Struthio camelus: one gene and its partner. The protein of the gene in region 2 purifies or fractionates together with the protein of the main gene of each other region. This does not show direct contact. Links are inferred from orthologs where the notes say so. Each region holds a gene or a part of one and is shown on either strand. Other genes may lie near its edges.

What was found.
Region 1: the proteins of CCNB2 (region 2) and PKMYT1 purify together in Homo sapiens (affinity purification with mass spectrometry; 4 studies listed by BioGRID and IntAct, with this or other methods). This does not show direct contact. The link is inferred for Struthio camelus from reciprocal best matches to the Homo sapiens genes CCNB2 and PKMYT1.

The regions. Positions count from the first base shown.
Region 1 is NC_090973.1:805,001-815,694, reverse strand, and holds the start of PKMYT1 (membrane-associated tyrosine- and threonine-specific cdc2-inhibitory kinase), read right to left. Parts: upstream 4,586-10,694; coding exon 4,394-4,585; intron 3,140-4,393; coding exon 3,029-3,139; intron 1-3,028. Other genes in the region: serine protease 33-like, read right to left, coding at 7,733-7,978, 9,185-9,354. UniProt on the Homo sapiens protein: Acts as a negative regulator of entry into mitosis (G2 to M transition) by phosphorylation of the CDK1 kinase specifically when CDK1 is complexed to cyclins. Mediates phosphorylation of CDK1 predominantly on 'Thr-14'. Also involved in Golgi fragmentation.
Region 2 is NC_090953.1:17,503,278-17,513,128, reverse strand, and holds the start of CCNB2 (G2/mitotic-specific cyclin-B2), read right to left. Parts: upstream 4,144-9,851; 5' UTR 3,907-4,143; coding exon 3,883-3,906; intron 3,157-3,882; coding exon 3,028-3,156; intron 2,948-3,027; coding exon 2,822-2,947; intron 2,407-2,821; coding exon 2,236-2,406; intron 2,155-2,235; coding exon 1,996-2,154; intron 1,668-1,995; coding exon 1,431-1,667; intron 657-1,430; coding exon 516-656; intron 15-515; coding exon 1-14. Other genes in the region: RNF111 (E3 ubiquitin-protein ligase Arkadia), read right to left, coding at 8,013-8,130, 8,915-9,042. UniProt on the Homo sapiens protein: Essential for the control of the cell cycle at the G2/M (mitosis) transition.

The DNA of each region.
Region 1 (10,694 bases), on a different chromosome or scaffold from region 2:
CGTGGTGATACCTTCTAGACCTCTCCAAAGGACCCCAACCCCATGGTGATACCTTCTAGACCTCCCTGAAGAAGCCCGACCCCATGGTGGTCCCTCATAGACTTCCCCAAAGGACCCCAACCCCATGGTGATACCTTCTAGACCTCCCTGAAGAAGCCCGACCCCATGGTGGTCCCTCATAGACCTCCCCAAAGGACCCCCAACTCTGTCCCGGTCCCTTATAGACCTCCCCAAAGGACTCCAACCCCATGGTGGTACCTTCTAGACCTCCCTCAAGGACCCCCAACCCCATAGTGGTTCCTTCTAGACCTCCCCCAAGGACCCCCAACCCCATGGTGGTCCCTCATAGACCTCCCCAAAGGACCCCCAACCCTGTTCCGGTCCCTTATAGAGTTCCCCGAAGGACTCCAACCCCATGGTGGTACCTTCTAGACCTCCCCCAAGAATCCTGACCCCGTATAGAGTACATCCTATAGATGGTTCCCTATAGACGGTACCTTGCAGGTCTCACCACAGGAGCTGGACCCCATCCTACAGGCCCCACTCTACAGCCAAGGCGCCATTGACCGTCCCCTATGGGCGGCACCTTATAGACAGCGCCCTATAGGGTCTCCCCCATAGGGGGCTGCCCTATAGGTGGTACCTTATGGACTTCACGGTGGGAACCAGACCCCCGTCCCAGCCCTGTACAGACCCTGCCCTACACCCAGGACCCCTAGAGACCATCACCTATAAGTGACATTGTATAGACAGCACCCTATAGGGTCTCCCCTATAGGGGGCTGCCCTATAGGGAGCACCTAATAGACCTCACGGTGGGAGCCAGACCCCGTCCCAGCCCTGTACAGACCCTGCCCTACACCCAAGGCCCCCAGAGACCGTCACCTATAGGTGACACCATATAGACAGCGCCCTATAGGGTCTCCCCCATAGGGGGCTGCCCTATAGGTGGTACCTTATGGACTTCCCGGTGGGAGCCGGACCCCTGTTTCAGCCCTATATAGACCCTGCCCTACACCCAAGGCCCCCAGAGACCATCACCTATAAGTGACATCGTATAGACAGCACCCTATAGGGTTTCTCCTATAGGGGGCTGCCCTATAGGGAGCACCTAATAGACCTCACGGTGGGAGCCAGACCCCGTCCCAGCCCTGTACAGACCCTGCCCTACACCCAAGGCCCCCAGAGACCATCACCTATAGGTGACATCATATAGACAGCACCCTATAGGGTCTCCCCTATAGGGGGCTGCCCTATAGGGAGCACCTAATAGACCTCACGGTGGGAGCCAGACCCCGTCCCAGCCCTATATAGACCCTGCCCTACACCCAAGGCCCCCAGAGACCGTCACCTATAGGTGACATTGTATAGACAGCACCCTATAGGGTCTCCCCTATAGGGGGCTGCCCTATAGGGAGCACCTTATAGACCTCACGGTGGGAGCCGGACCCCCGTCCCACTCCTGTATAGACCCTGCCCTACATCCAAGGCCCCCATAGACTGTCACCTATGGGTGATACCATATAGAAAGTGCCCTACAGAGGGTCTCCCCTATAGGGGGCTGCCCCATAGGGGGCTGCCCTATAGGGAGCACCTTATAGACCTCACGGTGGGAGCCAGACCCCGTCCCAGCCCTGTACAGACCCTGCCCTACACCCAAGGCCCCCAGAGACCGTCACCTATAGGTGACACCATATAGACAGCGCCCTATAGGGTCTCCCCCATAGGGGGCTGCCCTATAGGTGGTACCTTATGGACTTCACGGTGGGAACCAGACCCCCGTCCCAGCCCTGTACAGACCCTGCCCTACACCCAGGACCCCTAGAGACCATCACCTATAAGTGACATCGTATAGACAGCACCCTATAGGGTCTCCCCTATAGGGGGCTGCCCTATAGGGAGCACCTTATAGACCTCACGGTGGGAGCCGGACCCCCATCCCACTCCTGTATAGACCCTGCCCTACATCCAAGGCCCCCATAGACTGTCACCTATGGGTGATACCATATAGAAAGTGCCCTACAGAGGGTCTCCCCTATAGGGGGCTGCCCTATAGGGAGCACCTAATAGACCTCACGGTGGGAGCCAGACCCCGTCCCAGCCCTGTACAGACCCTGCCCTACACCCAAGGCCCCCAGAGACCGTCACCTATAGGTGACACCATATAGACAGCACCCTATAGGGTCTCCCCTATAGGGGGCTGCCCTATAGGGAGCACCTTATAGACCTCACGGTGGGAGCTGGACCCCCGTCCCACTCCTGTATAGACCCTGCCCTACATCCAAGGCCCCCATAGACTGTCACCTATGGGTGATACCATATAGAAAGTGCCCTACAGAGGGTCTCCCCTATAGGGGGCTGCCCCATAGGGGGCTGCCCTATAGGGAGCACCTAATAGACCTCACGGTGGGAGCCAGACCCCGTCCCAGCCCTGTACAGACCCTGCCCTACACCCAAGGCCCCCAGAGACCATCACCTATAGGTGACATCATATAGACAGCACCCTATAGGGTCTCCCCTATAGGGGGCTGCCCTATAGGGAGCACCTTATAGACCTCACGGTGGGAGCCGGACCCCCGTCCCAGCCCTGTACAGACCCTGCCCTACATCCAAGGCCCCCATAGACTGTCACCTATGGGTGATACCATATAGAAAGTGCCCTACAGAGGGTCTCCCCTATAGGGGGCTGCCCCATAGGGAGCACCTTATAGACCTCACGGTGGGAGCCAGACCCCGTCCCAGCCCTGTACAGACCCTGCCCTACACCCAAGGCCCCCAGAGACCGTCACCTATAGGTGACACCATATAGACAGCGCCCTATAGGGTCTCCCCCATAGGGGGCTGCCCTATAGGTGGTACCTTATGGACTTCCCGGTGGGAGCCAGACCCCGTCCCAGCCCTGTACAGACCCTGCCCTACACCCAGGACCCCCATAGACCGTCACCTATGGGTGATACCATACAGGCAGCGCCCTATAGGAGCTCCCCTATAGGGGGCTGCCCCATAGGGGGCTGCCCCATAGGCGGTACCTTATAGACCTCGCCGTGGGAGCCGCGGCCCAGGCGGCCCAGCACCTGGAAGCACTGCCGGAAGAAGGTCTGGGGGCGCCGGGGGTCGTACAGGCGGCTGGCGAGGGTAGGCTGAGAGGGCGTCAGGCGGAAGGTGACGCTGCGGGGGCCGGGGCTCCAAGGGGGCGGGGGGCGGGACCCCGTCAAGCGACTCCACCCCCCGGGGCCCCGGCGTCCGGGCCTGGGAGTGCGGGGGGAAGTGTGGGGCCGGGTGGGCAGCATGGTGTTTGGGTGGGTGGGGGGGGGGTGCTGTGTTGGGGGGGGAAAAGGGGGGGTTAAAGGGGGGCTGCTGCCCCATAGAGGCTTGGGGGGGGGGCGGCTGTGGGGCAGGAGCGGAGCCCCCCTCCATGGCGGCGGGGGGGTCTTCCTGCCCCACGGCTCCCCCCAGCCCCCTCCTGCCCCATAACCGCCCTCCCAGACCCCCTCCTGCCCCACAACCCCCCCAGACCCCCTCCTGCCCCATAACTCCCCCTCCAGAGCCCCTCCGCCCCCTCCTGCCCCACAACCCCCTTCCCAGACCCCCTCCTGCCCCACAACCCCCCCAGCCCCCTCCTGCCCCATAACCCCCCTCCCAGACCCCCTCCTGCCCCATAACCCCCCCAGACCCCCTCCTGCCCCATAACTCCCCCTCCAGAGCCCCTCCGCCCCCTCCTGCCCCACAACCCCCTTCCCAGACCCCCTCCTGCCCCACAACCCCCCTCCCACAGCCCCCTCCTGCCCCATAACCCCCCCAGGCCCCCTCCTGCCCCACAACCCCCCTCCTAGACCCCCTCCTGCCCCATAACCCCCCTCCCAGCCCCCCTCCTGCCCCATAACCCCCCTCCCAGCCCCTCTCCTGCCCCACAACCCCCCTCCCAGCCCCCCTCCTGCCCCATAACCCCCCTCCCAGCCCCTCTCCTGCCCCATAACCCCTCCCAGCCCCCCTCCTGCCCCACAACCCCCCTCCCAGCCCCCCTCCTGCCCCACAACCCCCCTCCTAGACCCCCTCCTGCCCCATAACCCCCCTCCCAGCCCTCCTCCTGCCCCATAACCCCCCTCCTAGACCCCCTCCTGCCCCACAACCCCCCTCCCAGCCCCCCTCCTGCCCCATAACCCCCCTCCCAGCCCCCCTCCTGCCCCATAACCCCCCTCCTAGACCCCCTCCTGCCCCACAACCCCCCTCCCGGCCCCCCTCCTGCCCCATAACCCCCCCCCTCCTGCCCCATAACCCCCCTCCCAGCCCCCCTCCTGCCCCACAACCCCCCCTCCCAGACCCCCTCCTGCCCCATAACCCCCCTCCCAGCCCCCCTCCTGCCCCACAACCCCCCCCCACAGCCCCCCAAGTACCGGCCGCTCCGCTCCGCTCCCTGTGGGGAGGGGGGAGGAGGAGGGGGCGGGGCCGAGCCGCTTCCCGCCAACGGCTCCCGCCAACGGCCGCGCCCCGCCCCGCCCCTCCCCCGGCGGCCCCGCCCCTCCGCCGGCGGCCAGCCAATCCCCGCGCTCCCCCTCCCGCCCCGCCCCCCCCGGGTCCGCCTCCATCCCAGAGCCCCCCGCGGCCGCCCCGCCCCTCCCCCCCCCCGGCCGGGTTAATTGATTTTATTTCTTTCCTCTTTTTTTTTTTTCCCCCGTTTCTTTATTTTTTTCACCCGGGTTTTTTTTTTATCCCCCCCCCACACACACACACACCCGGGGGGGGGGGCGGTTGGGGGGGGGGGACACGGGGGGAGCCACAACTCTCCCCCGGGATCCCCCAGGCCCAAACTCGGCCCTTTTCACCCCAAAACGGCCACCCGCCCCCCCCCTCACCCCGAGGACCCCCCCCATAGAGGTTGTGGGGGGGTACCAAGGGGGGGTTTGGGGGGTGGTCCCACAGGTCCCCATATGGCTTTTGGGGGGGGGGTCACACAGGGAGGTTTTGGGGTCCCCATAGGGCTTTGGGGTCCCTACACGGGGGGGTTGGGGGTCCCACGGGGGGGTTTTGGGGTCCCACAGGAGGGTTTTGGGGTCCCCATAGGGCTTTGGGGTCCCACGGGGGGGGTTGGGGATTCCACGGGGGGGTTTTGGGGTCCTACAGGAGGGTTTTGGGGTCCCCATAGGGCTTTTGGGGTCCCACAGGGGGGTTTTGGGGTCCCACGGGGGGGTTTTGGGGTCCTACAGGAGGGTTTTGGGGTCCCCATAGGGCTTTGGGGTCCCTACACGGGGGGGTTGGGGTCCCACGGGGGGGTTTTGGGGTCCTACAGGACGGTTTTGGGGTCCCCATAGGGCTTTTGGGGTCCCACAGGGGGGTTTTGGGGTCCCACGGGTGGGTTTTGGGGTCCTACAGGAGGGTTTTGGGGTCCCCATAGGGCTTTGGGGTCCCCCAAATGGTTTGGGGGGTCCCACAGGAGAGTTTTGGGGTCCCCATAGGGCTTTGGGGTCACTACACGGGGGGGTTGGGGGTCCCACGGGGGGTTTTGGGGTCCTACAGGACTGTTTTGGGGTCCCCATAGGGCTTTGGGGTCCCCCAAATGGTTTGGGGGGGTCCCACAGGAGGGTTTTGGGGTCCCCATAGGGCTTTGGGGTCCCTACACGGGGGGTTGGGGTCCTACAGGAGGGTTTGGGGGTCTCCATAGGGCTTTGGGGCCCCCCCAAATGGTTTGGAGGTTCCATGGGGGGGTTGGGGGTCCCACAGGGAAGTTTTGGGGTCCTACAGGAGGGTTTTGGGGTCCCCATAGGACTTTGGGGCCCCCCAAATGGTTTGGGGGTCCCAATAGGGGATTTTTGGGGTCCCCATAGGACTTTGGACCCCCCCAGATGGTCTGGGGGGGTCCCATGATGGTGGGTTGGGGTCCCACAGGAGGGTTTTGGGGTCCCCATAAGGTTTTGGGGTCCCTACAGGGTGGTTTTGGGTTCCTACAGGAGGGTTTGGGGGTCCCCATAGGACTTTGGACCCCCCAGATGGTCTGGGGGGTCCCATGATGGGGGGTTGGGGTCCCACAGGAGGGTTTTGGGGTCCCCATAAGGTTTTGGGGTCCCTACAGGGTGGTTTTGGGTTCCTACAGGAGGGTTTGGGGGTCCCCACAGGACTTTGAGGCCCCACCAAATGGTTTGGGGGTCCCACAGGAGGGTTTTGGGGTCCCCATAAGGTTTTGGGGTCCCTACAGGGGAGTTTTGGGTTCCTACAGGAGGGTTTGGGGGTCCCCATAGGACTTTGGGCCCCACCAAATGGTTTGGGGGTCCCACAGGAGGGTTTTGGGGTCCCCATAAGGTTTTGGGGTCCCTACAGGGTGGTTTTGGGTTCCTACAGGAGGGTTTGGGGGTCCCCATAGGACTTTGGGGCCCCACCAAATGGTTTGGGGGTCCCACAGGAGGGTTTTGGGGTCCCCATAAGGTTTTGGGGTCCCTACAGGGGGGTTTTGGTGTCCTACAGGAAGGTTTTGGGGTCTCCATAGGGCTTTGGGGCCCCCCCAAATGGTTTGGGGGTTCCATGGGGGAGGTTGGGGGTCCCACAGGGAAGTTTTGGGGTCCTACAGGAGGGTTTTGGGGTCCCCATAGGGCTTTGGGACCCCCCATATGGTTCTGGGGTCCTATGGGGGGGGTTGGGGTCCCCATGGGGCTTTGAAGCCCTCTAGATGCTTTTGGGGTCCCACGGGGGGGGTTGGGATCTCCATAGGGCTTTGGGATCCCCTCCAGATGGTTTTGGGGGTCCCCTATAGGGTTTTTGGAATCCCCACAGGGTTTTGGGGCCCCCGGATGGTTTTGGGGTCCCATAGGGGAGTTTTGGGGTCCCCATGGGGTTTTGGGGTCCCACAGGGCTGTTTGGGGTCCCACGGAAGGGTTTTGGAGACCCACAGGGGAGTTTCGGGGCCCCCATAGTGCTTTGGGGTCCCTCAGGTTGTTTTGGGGTCCTCCATAGGGATTTTGGGGTCCTCATAGGGTTTTGGGACCCCCAGATGGTTTTGGGGTCCCACAGGGGGGGTTGGGGATCTCCATAGGACTTTAGGGTCACCCAGATGGTTTTAGGGTCCCCCACAGGAGATTTGGGGTCCCCATAGGGCTTTGAGGCCCCCTCCAATATGGTTTTGAGATCCCCATAAGGCTTTGAACCCCCTCGAGATAGTTTTGGGGTCCCACAGGGAGGTTTTGGGGTCCCCATAGGTGTTTTGGGATCTCCATAAGGCTTCGGACCCCCTCGAGATAGTTTTGGGGTCCCACAGGGAGGTTTTGGGGTCCCCATAGGTGTTTTGGGGTCCCCATAAGTCTTTGGGGCCCCCCAAGATGGTTTTGAGGTCCCACAGGGAGGTTTTGGGGTCCCCGTAAGAGTTTTGGGGACCCCATAGGGCTTTGAGCCCCCCTGAGATGTTTTGGCGATCCCCTAGGGGTGTTTCGAGGTCCTCCATAGGAGGACCTTGTCTCCAAGGGCAACGAGGAGCAGGCGGGGGAGAGCAGTGCCCTCGGCGGCAGTACCCTCGGCGGCGGTACCATCGGCGGTGACTGTACCAGTACCACCGGCGGCACCATCGGGCCGAGGAGGAGCAGGAGGCCACCAGCAGCAGCGTTGGTGGCAGCGGTACCACCAGTGGGCACCGTTGGAGGCTGTAGCAGTACCGCCGCCGGCGGCTGTAGCAGTACCACCGGCGGCACCGCCCAAGAGAGGTGACGAGGAGGAACAAGAGGCTGAGGGCGGCGACGGCGCTACAGCCGCCGTCAGGGGCCGGCGAGGGCCAGGAGGAGCAGGAGGGCGACGGGGGTACAGGCGGCGGTACAGGCGGCGGCACCGGCGGTGACCAAGGGCAGGTCGGGGACGCGGCGGGCGATCCAGGGGGTGTAGGCGCTGACGCGGGTGTAGACGCCCGGGCGGTTGGGCACGGCGCAGCCCTCGCCCCAGCTGACGATGCCGGTCAGCACCCAGCGGCCACCGGCCCGGCACACCAGCGGGCCACCGGAGTCACCCTGCCACGTGGGTTTGGGGGGGGACATGACGTCACGGGGGATGTGGGGGGGGGTCTATAGGGTTGGGGGGGGTCGGGGCGAGGGCACAACGGGGGGTGGCTGTGTCCCCGTGGGGGCAGCCGGGACGTGGGCTGTCTCACTTAGGTGTCCCACCATGTCCCTCCATGTCCTCCAGGTCCCTCCACGTCCCCCCATGACCCCCATGTTCCTCCATGTCCCCCCGTGTCCCTCCACGTCCCCCCATGACCCCCATGTCCTCCTTGTCCCTCATGTTGTCCATGTCCCTCCATGTCCCCCCACATCCTCCATGTCCTCCTTGTCCCTCCATGTCCCTCCATGTCCATCAGTCCTCCATGTGCCTCCATGTTCCCCATGTTCTCTATGTCCCCCCGTGTCCCTCCATGTGTACTCCTTGTCCCTCATGTTCTTCATGTCCCTCCCTGTCCCCCACGTCCCTCCATGTCCCCCCACATCCTCCCATGTCCCTCCATGTCCCTCATATCCTCCATGTCCCTCATGTTCTCCACGTTCTCCATGTCCCCCCATGTCCCTCCACGTCCCCCCATGTCCCCCATGTCCCTCCATGTTCTCCATGTCCCTCCACGTCCCCCCATGTCCCCCATGTCCCTCCATGTCCCCCATGTCCTCCTTCTCCGTCCATGTCCCTCCATGTCCCTCCATGTCCCTCCATGTCCCCCATATCCTCCATGTCCCTCATGTTCTCCACGTTCTCCATGTCCCCCCATGTCCCTCCACGTCCCCCCATGTCCCCCATGTCCCTCCATGTTCTCCATGTCCCCCCATGTCCCTCCACGTCCCCCCATGTCCCCCATGTCCCTCCATGTCCCTCCATGTCCCCCATATCCTCCATGTCCCTCATGTTCTCCATGTTCTCCATGTCCCTCCATGTCCCTCATGTCCCCCATCTCCCCCATGTCCCCCCATGTCCCCCATATCCTCCTTCTCCATCCATGTCCCCCCGTGTCCCCCCATGTCCCTCCATGTCCCTCTGTCCTCCCTGTTCCTCCATGTCCCTCTGTCCTCCATGTTCCCCCATGTCCCTCCATGTCCCTCCATGTCCCTCCATGTCCCTCATGTTCTCCATGTCCCCCACATCCCTCCATGTCCCCCTCCCCATGTTCCCCCCCATCCCACGTCCCCCCCATCCCCATGTCCCCCCCGTCCCCTCCGCGTGCCCGTCCCCACCTTGCAGGTGTCCTTGAGGCCCTCGGGGTACCCGGCGCACATCATGTCGTCCTGGATGCGCCGCGGCGGCAGCCCCCGGCCCATGTCGATGCCGTAGAGGCGCCGGCAGGTGGCCTGCGCCATGATGGGCACCTCCAGCTTCTGCAGCCGCCGCGGCGACGGCAGGTCCTCTGCGGGCACCCAAAGGGGCAGGTGGCACCCGGCTCCTCCGCCAGGCCCCCCGCCACCCCCATCCCTTCAGCCACCATTAGGTCACCACAGCCACCGCTGCGTCCCCACAACCTCCATTGGGTCCTCCTGACCCCCCCCCACCTTGGCCACTGTTGGGTCCTCTTGGCCACCTTTGGGTCTCCTTGGCCACTGTTGAGTCCCCACCACCCCCATTGGGTCCCCTTGGCCACCACTGAGTTCGCCGACAACCCCCATTAGGTTCCCACGACCCCCGTTGGGTCTCCTTGGCCACTGCTGGGTCTCCACCACCACCACTGGGTCCTCTTGGCTATTGCTGGGTCCCCACAACCCTGTTGGGTCCCTTTGGCCATCGTTGGGTCCCCTCAGCCCTCATTGGGTCCCCTCGGCTCCCATTGGGTCCCCACAACCCCATTGGGTCCCATTGTCCACCATTTGGTCCCAGTGGCCCCTGTTGGGTCCCCGTTGGGTCCCTATGACCCCCGTTGGGTCCCCTTGGCCATCGTTGGGTCCCCTTGGTCACCATTGGGTTCCTATGACTCCTGTTGGGTCCCCTCAGCCACCATTGGGTCTCCATATGCACTGTTGGGTCCCACTGATCCCCCTTGTCCACTGTTTGGTCCCAATGAACCCACTGGGTCCCCTTGACCACCATTGGGTTCCCATGATTCCCGTTGGATCCCCTTGGTCACCATTGAGTCCCCTTGGCCTCCGTTGATCCTCCTTGGCCACCGTTTGGTCCCAGTGACCCCCCCCACTGGGTCCCCTTGGTTACCATTGGCTCCCCATCAGCTTCACTGGGTCCCCACAATCCCCATTGGGTCCCCTTGGCCACCACTGGGTCCCCTCCGCTTCCACTGGATCCCCACCACCCCCACAGGGTCCCCTCAGCCACCACTGGGTCTCCTCAATCCCTGTTGGGAACCGTTAATCCTCCTTGCCCGCTGCTTGGTCCCAAAGACCCCCCCACACTGGGTTCCTTTGGCCACCATTGGGTCCCCTTGGCCACCATTGGGTCCCCATCACCCCTGTTGGGTCCCCTTGGCCCCCATTGGTTCTCCATAACCACTATTGGGTCTACTTGGCCTCTGATGATCCCCTTGGCCACTGTTTGGTCCCAGTGACCCCTGTTGGATCCCCTTGGCCACCGTTGGCTCCCTACCACCCCCATTGGGTCCCCTCAGCCACCATTTGGTCTCCATACCCACTGTTGGATCCCGTTGATCCCCCTAGGCCACCATTGGGTCCCCTCAATCCCTGCTTTGTCCCCTTGGCCTCCGTTGGATCCCCATCACCCCTCATTGGGTCCTCTTGGCCCCCG
Region 2 (9,851 bases):
TGCTGCTTCATACCCTGCAATGTAACAGTAAAAAAAATCTAGAGCCTTTTAAAGAAGTAGGATTTCTGCTCAAGGCCCAGTCACCTCAGGTAAGTGACACCCCAAACTTCATGAGTTAGCCTTGTGCTCCAAGGAACGGTACATCAGTTTAGAAGACGGATCCACACTTCTGCACTGTGCAGAAGCCAAAAGCAGCAGCAAGGGTAACCACTAATTCAGTTACAATTCACCGTTCATAGTCCATAATTTAATTATTCTACTTTGTACTGCAGCCTGCAGAAAGATCAAGCGTTATTTACAGTGTGGCCTTCTCTGATAACTCAATACCTTTGTAGGAAAAAATCCTTTTATGCAAGGGTGCCCACATAAAAAGAGATAATATTGCAGATTGTTATTACGGTATACTCCTTAGTCTACCTTCATCAGTAAATCGGGTCATCCAACTATCATTTGATCACCAGCATCATTACTGCTCTAAACACAGTCAGCTCCAGTAGTTTTAATAAAACACTTACCCATTTGTTATGTCCTAGGATCTTTTGTGACAAGCATAATGCAGCAGCTGCAATCTCTGAAGGATGATGGTGCACCATGTCATAATCCACCAGAGTCAGCTCCATTAGATATTTTGCTAGCGTATGTTGCTCAGCATCAGCCTATCAGATCAAGAGCTTGTTAATTCACAACATTTTACTTCACTTTATCAAGCTGATCCAGGGTTGTTTATTCCAGCCATTAACTGACAAATAACTTGGCAAAACAAGAACAGTCAACAAGAGCTTTATTAACATCTAGGGATCACACTGCCTAATGGGACAGTTACCTCAGGTCAAAATTGAGCCCAGAGTCAGGACCAGCATAGCCTAGCATCCATTTGGAATGCAGACTCAAGAGTTGCATGAAAGATGTTAACAGGAAACTCCTGTACTGGGCGCTGCTGTGCCCAGCTTGGGAGACAAATGCTTCCTCTAAAATAGATTAAGGGGAAGGAGGAAACAAACAACAAGAGTGTAAAATTAGTTAAGTAGCTCCTTACCAAGGAGTCCAAGGAGTCAGCTTACTTCAAGAGCTGCCCAGTAGTCTGCTGAGGGAACCTTTTACTGAAGAACACCCTAATTACCAGGCAAAAGGCTACAGTTGTGCTCTACTCATCTTCTACTCATCACCTACTCGTTTTACTGTAACAGTGAAATTACTACAACTAAGATTGGACACAAGCCCCAGTAAAGACACATGAACAATTACTGGAAATTGCAGTGACGTTGACAGTCATGCCACCACATGGTGGAATTTTATAGCTGAACATTGCTTTCTGCTCAAAAACTGGAACAAGAAAAGTCGGACAACATGATAAAAAAGGCCTGAAGCAATCCAGATTGTCTTTACGCAAACAAAAAAGTTCTAAATAACGAGGATGGACAAGTACCCACCTCAGCAGCTTTTGACGCTCTTCTTAGGAAGTGAAGCGGAAGAGGACGTCCCAAATCAAAGTTCAACTCTTTGAGAATCACGATCTCCATTTCTCTAACTTCTTCACTGGTGTAGGCATTGTCAGTAATGTAAACAAAGTCTGCTACATCAGGAGAGAACATCTCTTCATATTTTGAAGCAAGAAGCAGTGCTGTTACACCCACCAACTGAAGCCTCTTACGGGGTACTGGATGACTCTGCAACACAGAGGTTTACAAAGGCAGACCTCAAATCATCAAACTCTAGATGAACAGGTTCTGATTTATTAGTTTATAATGACAGTATGATAGAGTTCATTCTTAGAACGTACATGAAATTTTCCACTTTAAGTCAGACGGGTCCCTATAATGACAGGCTCCAAGAGGCTAGCAGCCTCAAAGTTATGTTAAATAGCTCTTACCCAATCACACAGCACAATCTCCAGGTATTAAAAAAGGCTAAATTCCCAATTCTTTTAAAGACCATTGTCACTGAGCAACTCCCCTAACCCAAACAGGTGTTGAAGAACTTCTTAAAGACACTTACTTGTAAGAAGCGATCCATAACTGCAACACACATATACAGTGTCTCCTGCAAAAGCTGGAATCTTGAGTGGACCTGGACAAGCCAGTCAACTAAAATTGCACGCATACGCCCATTGATCGCCTTCCCATCGAGGTAATGGGGGCGCACCGATTGCTGCAGCTGTTAGTGAGAGAACTGTGTGAGCAACAAGATGAACGCTATTCTGCAGAAGCTGCAGAATCAGTGCGTAGGTATTCCTACCTCAAGCTGTCTCAGATAAAGATAGATATCTTTTACATAGTCACTACAAAGCTGCGGGTTCTCCCAATCCTCAGCGTCAATGTCTTCTACGTTGTTGAGCAATACATCAGAGAAGGCTTGGCACAAATCCTCTTCTTGCATAGACACATCCATAGGAACCGGAGACAGAACCTAAGGAACAGGTTATAGCACTTACATATCTACTGATTAGGCAACAATGCCCCTTCTGTCCCCCACCCCCATTTTTTTAGTTATTAATGCAACTTCTTCCTTATATAAATATTTGAAAGATTGCTTGTATGCTAGCTGTGCAAGCTTTCATCAGGATGCCATACAAACAGAATGAGTAGACCTTCTGACGATTGCCGGCTAAAGGAGAAGCTTTCACGTTTCGTTCAATATTTCAATAGCTAATTCTGCCACTTTAATATTAGCCTTTAAGCAGAACGTGCATTAAAACCTGCTGAAAAAACAAAGCCCCTGCACCGAGGTCTTGGGAATGGGATACTTCTATAAATAAACTGAGGCTAAAGCACCGCGTTATAGGTCTGAAATTAAGAATCAGAACAACATCGTTACTTCCTACCTTTGGAACACTTGTTTCTTTGGATACTTGATTCACAACAGCTGGAGGTTTAGGCAGTGCAATTATATTTGTCATCTTACTAGGCCCTTTTATAGGTTTTGTAGATGCTTTGAAGCGTTCTGCTTTCTGTAATGAAAACAATGACTATCAATATAAAACTAATAACTCATCTGTTCCCTACAAGTAGGATTCAAATATTACTGTACCTTAGCTATGTGCGTTCCTCGTGTTGAAACTTTGTTTCCTATTTCTTCCAAAGCAGTCCTTCTGCCAGTTACTTGAGTTTTAGCTTTACGATTAGGTTCATTCACAGCATTCTCAACCCCTCTAGGGACCTAGAAGAATAAAATCACAGCTTAGAAATCAGAGGCCAACCTTTTTTCATTTTCAGGTGGCTGAGATGCTCCACAGATGCTATCCATGACTCAACTCAATCAAGTTTTGTTTCCTACGCATTCGTATGCGCTTAGAGAAATAACAAGTCAAGTCTTGACTGCGTAGGTTATGGAGAGTACTATGAAACTGTACTGCATGATTGGAGATAAGCACCAAATCTCCTTTCCTGCTCACAACATTTCAAGTCCACATTAGAGGGCTTACCTGTAACATAGCTACTTATTCTATTTACCCACTTTATATTGGTATTTCCATGAAGATGGGGGGGGGGAGGGGCAAGCAATTTCCTTCTTATTATTTACTACAAACAGCAGTAATTGTCTTATGTACAGAAAGGTAAGCCATCCCTTACATTGCATGGTAAAGAAACCACTGGGTTTCAGAGTTTCTCGTGGGTTCAGTTTAAACCATCAAAAAGTCACTCTAAAAAAAGGAGCTCTTGTTTTTCCCTTCCCGCACTCTCCCGTGAAATACCCTGAATTTCCTACCCTCCTTACACACTCCCTCCCCTTGTTTCGAGGGGGAGCCAGGGGGAGCCGGGGGCAGCGCGCAGGGTCCCCCCGCCGTCCCCCTCACGGCCCGGCCCGCGCTGGCCTCACAGCGCCCCCCCCCCCACAACGTCCCGCCACCGGGCCCGGCCGCGCCGCGATGCCCACGGCACTCACGGCGGCGCGGCGCGGCAGCGCCATGGGCGCGCAGGGAAGGCAGAGGAGGAAGAAGAGAGGAGAGGAGGAGGAAGACGAGGAGAGGAGGCAGAAGAGGAGGCGGCGGCTCCAGCTCCCCTCAGCCGCGAGCGCCGACTGCCGCCTCGTGCCGCCCGCCGCCCCGCTTGCCGCCCCGCCCGCGCCCCGATTGGGCAGCTTCGTACGATGCACGCGCCTGATTGGCCCAGCTCCTCAGGCCCGCCCCAAACAGGAAACGGCTCCGCCACTTCCGTACCGGCCGGCCTCTTAAAGGGGGGGGGGCGGGCGGCGGCGCCGCAGGGCCCCACGGGAGCTGCCCCCCCCCCCCGGAGCTCCGGACGGCCTGGGCCGGGAGCCGCGGCCGCCGCGCTCCCTGCACCGAACAACCCGCCCCCCGCCCGGCCCGCTCGGTTTCGAGCGGGTGCAGGAGCAGCGCCCAGGTAACAAGGGGCTGAACCGAGGCGCTGGGACCGGCTTCTCCTGCTGCAGCTAAACTAGTTGAAAATTAGACGCGATCACCCTCCCCCCCCCGCCCCAATGCTTCTAGACTGCTAAACTGCTGCTGCCACCTCTCTACCTTGCCTTCCCCTAACAGCCCAGGGTTTTATTCATTTTAGGTCTGCTTTTGAAATGCCCTCTTAAACTATTCGCGCTTGCTGTTTAGCAAGGATGGTCCCCGTTTTCAGTGGGGTGGCGTTTTATAAGGCAGCCGTACTGAAGAACACGACCCAGCAGCTCCAGTACTGAAGGTGGAGATTTTGCACGTGCTGAAGACTTACGCCACCGTACTGGCGCCAACGCACGTGTAGGGCAAAGATCAACACTGCTCCTCTTTGCAGGACGCAGAGTTTCAGTTTGTCTGTATAAACTCTTCCTAAGTAGCTGTTGTAAAGAGATTAAAGTCAAACTGACTCCTGATCCTGAGATTCTGTAAGTCCTTGATACTACAGTAGTAGCCTAAGCCGATAGAAAAGTAAAATTCTGCACGATTATTTTGCAGTCTCCCAGAAGTGGCCTTCTATATTTACTCGCATGTGCACAAGTTAGTATTTTGATGGCCTTTATAAGAGCAGTTTTCCTGAATTCCTGACTTGCAGTTAAATGGCATACCAAACATCAACAACTTATCTGTAGCTAAATATTGATCCTTCACTGAGGGTATTTTTCCTTAGACCGTATCTGCAAGAATACATGACAGAATTTTTTTCAGATGAAGAGTTATAAGAGCAGAAGACAACAAAAGGAAAAAACTTGCATAAGAAACAGATTTTGAATGATACCAGTCTAACATTTTATTTATTGCATACAAAAGGATTTCTTTTGACAATGGAATTTTATATGAAAAGTAATTTGATGCATACTGTTGAGAATCTTATCTTCAAAGATGCTGCAGAAAAACTTAAGGCAATGCATCTAAGCATGTAAAGCACAGTAAGTGGTGGAAATTTTCAAAATCAAAAGCCTATTCATTTTCTTTCCCTTAAATTATGGTCAAGTCACAACTTTCTGAAATAGAAGTAGGCTGCAGCTTTATTAGCCCCTGCAATAGCATATAAGACCAGAACACTGTGATTCCTGGCAAATACCTAAGTGTTTGACATCACATTACAATGCATACATTTAAAAGCAAGACAATATCAGTAGCAGTTATTAAACAACTCAATTCATGGGCCACTAAAATGCCTCTAGTACCAGGCACCCAAAGCAGGTGCATAAAAGAATTCCTAAAAAAATATCCCCAAAACCTGTGCTTCTTTGTCCTGTAAGGAAGCCAAAACGGGTTCCATCACATACCCAGGGTCTCAATTATGTTGCAGACCCCGTGTTTTTTTTTCCCCCCCCACCCCATGTCTCACAAGTACCTTCTTGGAAACTTTAAAAGAAGTGAATATCATCAGACTTCAAGCACCACTGGTAAACTAACTTCCCTCCTTTTCAATTTCACTGAAGAATGGGAAGTGTCTGTTGTTCAGTCCTTCCAGTTATTTTTATTCATTTTTACCAATGCAGATTTAATTTCATACCCACTTTCAGTTTCCTACCGCCATCATGTTCAAGAAGCTTTAGCATAAAACCATGTCAGGTTTTGAAGCAGCCAAATCGTATTTTGCCTCTCTCCCATATCCCCCATCTTACAAACACAAAGTGGTTTTTAAGTTCAGTTTTAGCAACGCAATTAAGCTTGAAAATGTCCACTCATCACACATGCTGGAATAAAAATTTCTCCCCACTTAATGCCTCAGTGCCAGAGGTGGTAAGTCTGTTGCCAGCAATAGACACTGCATTGGAAAATGCTACTCCTAACAGATTAAAAAAATAAAAAGGGAAGCAGCTTTAACCAGACAAAAAACAGGCATCAAATTAGATAAGGTCATATTTATAAATGGATTTTTTTTTTTTAGTGTAAACATAACATTTCATTTTCTAGGTTTACTGTAAACTGTTTTACATTTATCTGATTATGAAAGACAAAGACCAGAGAAACTGAAGGTATTACTCAATCCACTTACAAAGCAGGTGGCTTAATGCAAGCTTATTGACATGTTCATATATGATCCCCTAGGAACATCTTTTCCAAAGCGACAGTAATACTGTCTCACTGTTTTTGCAGTTTTCAGCATCTGTTGAGCACATTTAAATAAACTATACTCTATTATGTGTGGAAAGAATGTTTATAAGCGACTTGAGTCCTGATGTGCATTAAAACTTCCTCCAAAGGCGAAATGTTAGTACATTATAACTTAATTCTATATACTATATTATGCAGCAAATCTTAACTATAGAAAATATTTCAATCAGTGATGGACTGTTGGTAATTTATAAAGAGGGTATCTATGATCAAGGCAAAACTAGATAACCACATAATTTGTGTCTCAGTTTCTACAGAAATTTACAGGCTTTCAATTTACTAATGAAAAATAAAACAAGAGACAGGTGAATTTAGCTAATTTTATTAACTTAAAAACTAATAAAAATCCCAAGGGATCTTCTAAACTTCTAAAGATCCCTGGGATCTTTAGAAGTTCTATGAATGCGTGTATATCTGCCCCTTCCCTCCCCAAGCCCACCCCCAGAAAACAACATCTAAAAAAACCCCTGCAGCTCTAAGTCCTGATTGAATGGTTTTATAAAACAAAAACCAAAAAAAAACCCCAAAACAAGTGTGCAGATACTTCAACTTAAGTTAGCAGAAGACCAAACAAAGATTCTAAGTTCTTCCATTTCCCTAATATTTCTTTCAATCTGCAAGTATCTACAAATCCAGCTAACTGAAATCAACATTTAGTGTTCATTAGAGCTGTTTCACAGCAGCAAATATTAAGTTAGGGATTCAAATTTCTAGACATAGGAAGAAAAAGATAAATACAATCCGAACAGCAGTCTAAATGTTTAATATTGACATTCAAATATATCTGCATTGTGCTGAAAGTTTAAAACGAACACAAGAATCTGATCAGACAAAACTCTGGTGATGAGTATGCTATATGTATCAGTCAGACTGAATATAGTTCATATTCTGTTCCCAGTATTAATGATGGTATTTGACTCAGAATTGATATTGTTAATATACAGCAGCCATTTTTTCCTAATTAAGGAATGTCTCAATACATAATATTATCCTTTTCTAGATGATCTTTATACATTAAACTAAAATACATGATTGATTAAATTAAGGAACCCGAGGTTAGTAATGAGTGAAATCATATTTTCAAAGCTTGATACTATGTAAAACAAACCAAAAAAAAAAAAAAAAAAGAGACCACACAATTCTACTTACTAAAGCAGCTAGTCTTGCCTGCAAGTCTGGGGTCACAAAGCCCATAATATGTGCAAACAAATGCAATACAAGGAACCATGCAAAAATACAGTAATGAATTAAAAGAAAAAAATGTAAAACCTAAACAACAAAAAAGAGGTTTTATAAATACACTGAAACTCAACTGTCTACACGAACTGTAGGTCTAGCATTAGTTGTACCATATAGCAGAGCCAGCACTCTAGGTTCAATGCTTCCAAATCTGCGCAGGTAAGTCATGCCATCTTTGGTTGACTGCAGTACCAGGAAGGATGAAAGGGAGTGAGAGGGAGGACAAGAGTTCTGGAAAACGGTGTCAACTTTCACTAGGCAGTTGAGCCTCAATGTCCACTCTGCAAATGGGGCACTTCTTGTTAGTAATCAACCACTGATCTACGCATACTTGGTGGAAAAGGTGCATACATGGAAGGCGCCTGTCATCAGAACAGAAAAATATTTGTGTTAATAAAACATGTGCATATCAACATACCCATTGGAAAAATGGTAGTGTGGATTTTGCCATTGAGGTGTCTACTCTTCTTGCACCCTCTTCTTGGGTGTTTCTGCACCGTGCCCCCCCGCTTCACTAACCTTTCAAACTGTTGAACTTCTTTTTAGTGCTAAGAAGAAATGGATATAGGCAATGAAATGAAGCATCAGGTAAGTTAGAAACAACTATCCCATACAAAGCTGCCCAATTCTACTGCTACACTGATTTAAAATCTGTTACAGTTTAAGTAGCATTATTCCAGAAAACTTAAATTTGACACACTAGAATACACCTGATTCGTTACCCGAGATGCCAAGGCACACAGCACTATACGATTTAAATAAAGAATGAGTAGCATGTTCTCTAATATATTTTAAAAAGGTATCAGTTTGGGCTTGTATCATGAGACAAACAGTCAACTTAGGAAGATCATAAGAGAACCTACGTTCTCCCAAAGACAATGCAGACGGAACAATGAGTATTTTTAATTAAAAACACCTTTAACCATAGTTGGAGGGAAGATTATGAAACCTGTGCAATAATGGCTCCTCAAGAGCTCCTCCAATACCATCACTATTTGTTTTATTTATTGGTTACAATGACAAATAATGTTAATAACTGCAGCTGTTAACCTAGGGAGTGTTGCAAAGAGTAGTGTACCATAACAAAATATGGTCTCAAAGCCAGAGCATTTGCATTATATTTTGATATTCAATGGTACTATTTACCTGACATCTTCACCTTCCTCTAATATAGACAAACAGATGGTACACTTTTCCTCTGTGTCTTCTTCTGTTCCCTCCTCCCCATCTTGTTTGCAGTGCAGTTTCCTCTGTGAGAACCAATCAGTTGTTACCTTATTAGTAGAGATGACATTATTGACAAACTGAGCAAAATCTGTTTTTAATACATATTCAACATATACTTTGAAAACATTTGATAAATGACTTCACATTTTGAGTAGTACTTATTCAAATGCGTTTGAACTAAACTGAACCAAGAACTAGCACTTGGAGCAAAAACACCTGGCATTTCAGGCTTGCTTAACTCTTGGCTGAATTACAAAACAGCCTACTGGACTGTGAATATATAGTAATTTTGTAGTCTTACAACTAGTTCTTTCATTTATTGTCTAGATGAAAATATCTTAATTTCATTCATGAAGAGGCCAAAAATATTCCTATTCAAACCTAGTATCTTAAATCACTATCAGATAATAAAAGAACACTTATGTGGATAGAGTCCTGTATTATGGTATAATAAACTGAAAATGAGAGACAACTTGAGTTGCCAAAATGCTGTTCCAAGTACAAAACTTTTAAGTCTTCAAAATGCGATCACACTGAAGGAAAAAATGATATACACCAAGTGTGTGTCATAATTTATTACAACCCTTAACTTAAAAAAACACCCTTACTTTATTTGATGAATTAAATTGCCAGCAGGCTTCAGTGTTAACTATTACCAATAATTATTTCATTGTTCTTCATTTTAGCAGTAAGGGGAAGGAGAAAAAAAAAAAAAGACCAAAAAAATAAACCCAACAAAAGACAAGACTATTCATAATAGATGGAGAAGTTATTAAACAACGCAGCTGAAGATAGCAGCTGACCACCACTACTGGGATAGGGGAAGAAACAAAATCCAAAGTCACATTTCCTCTTA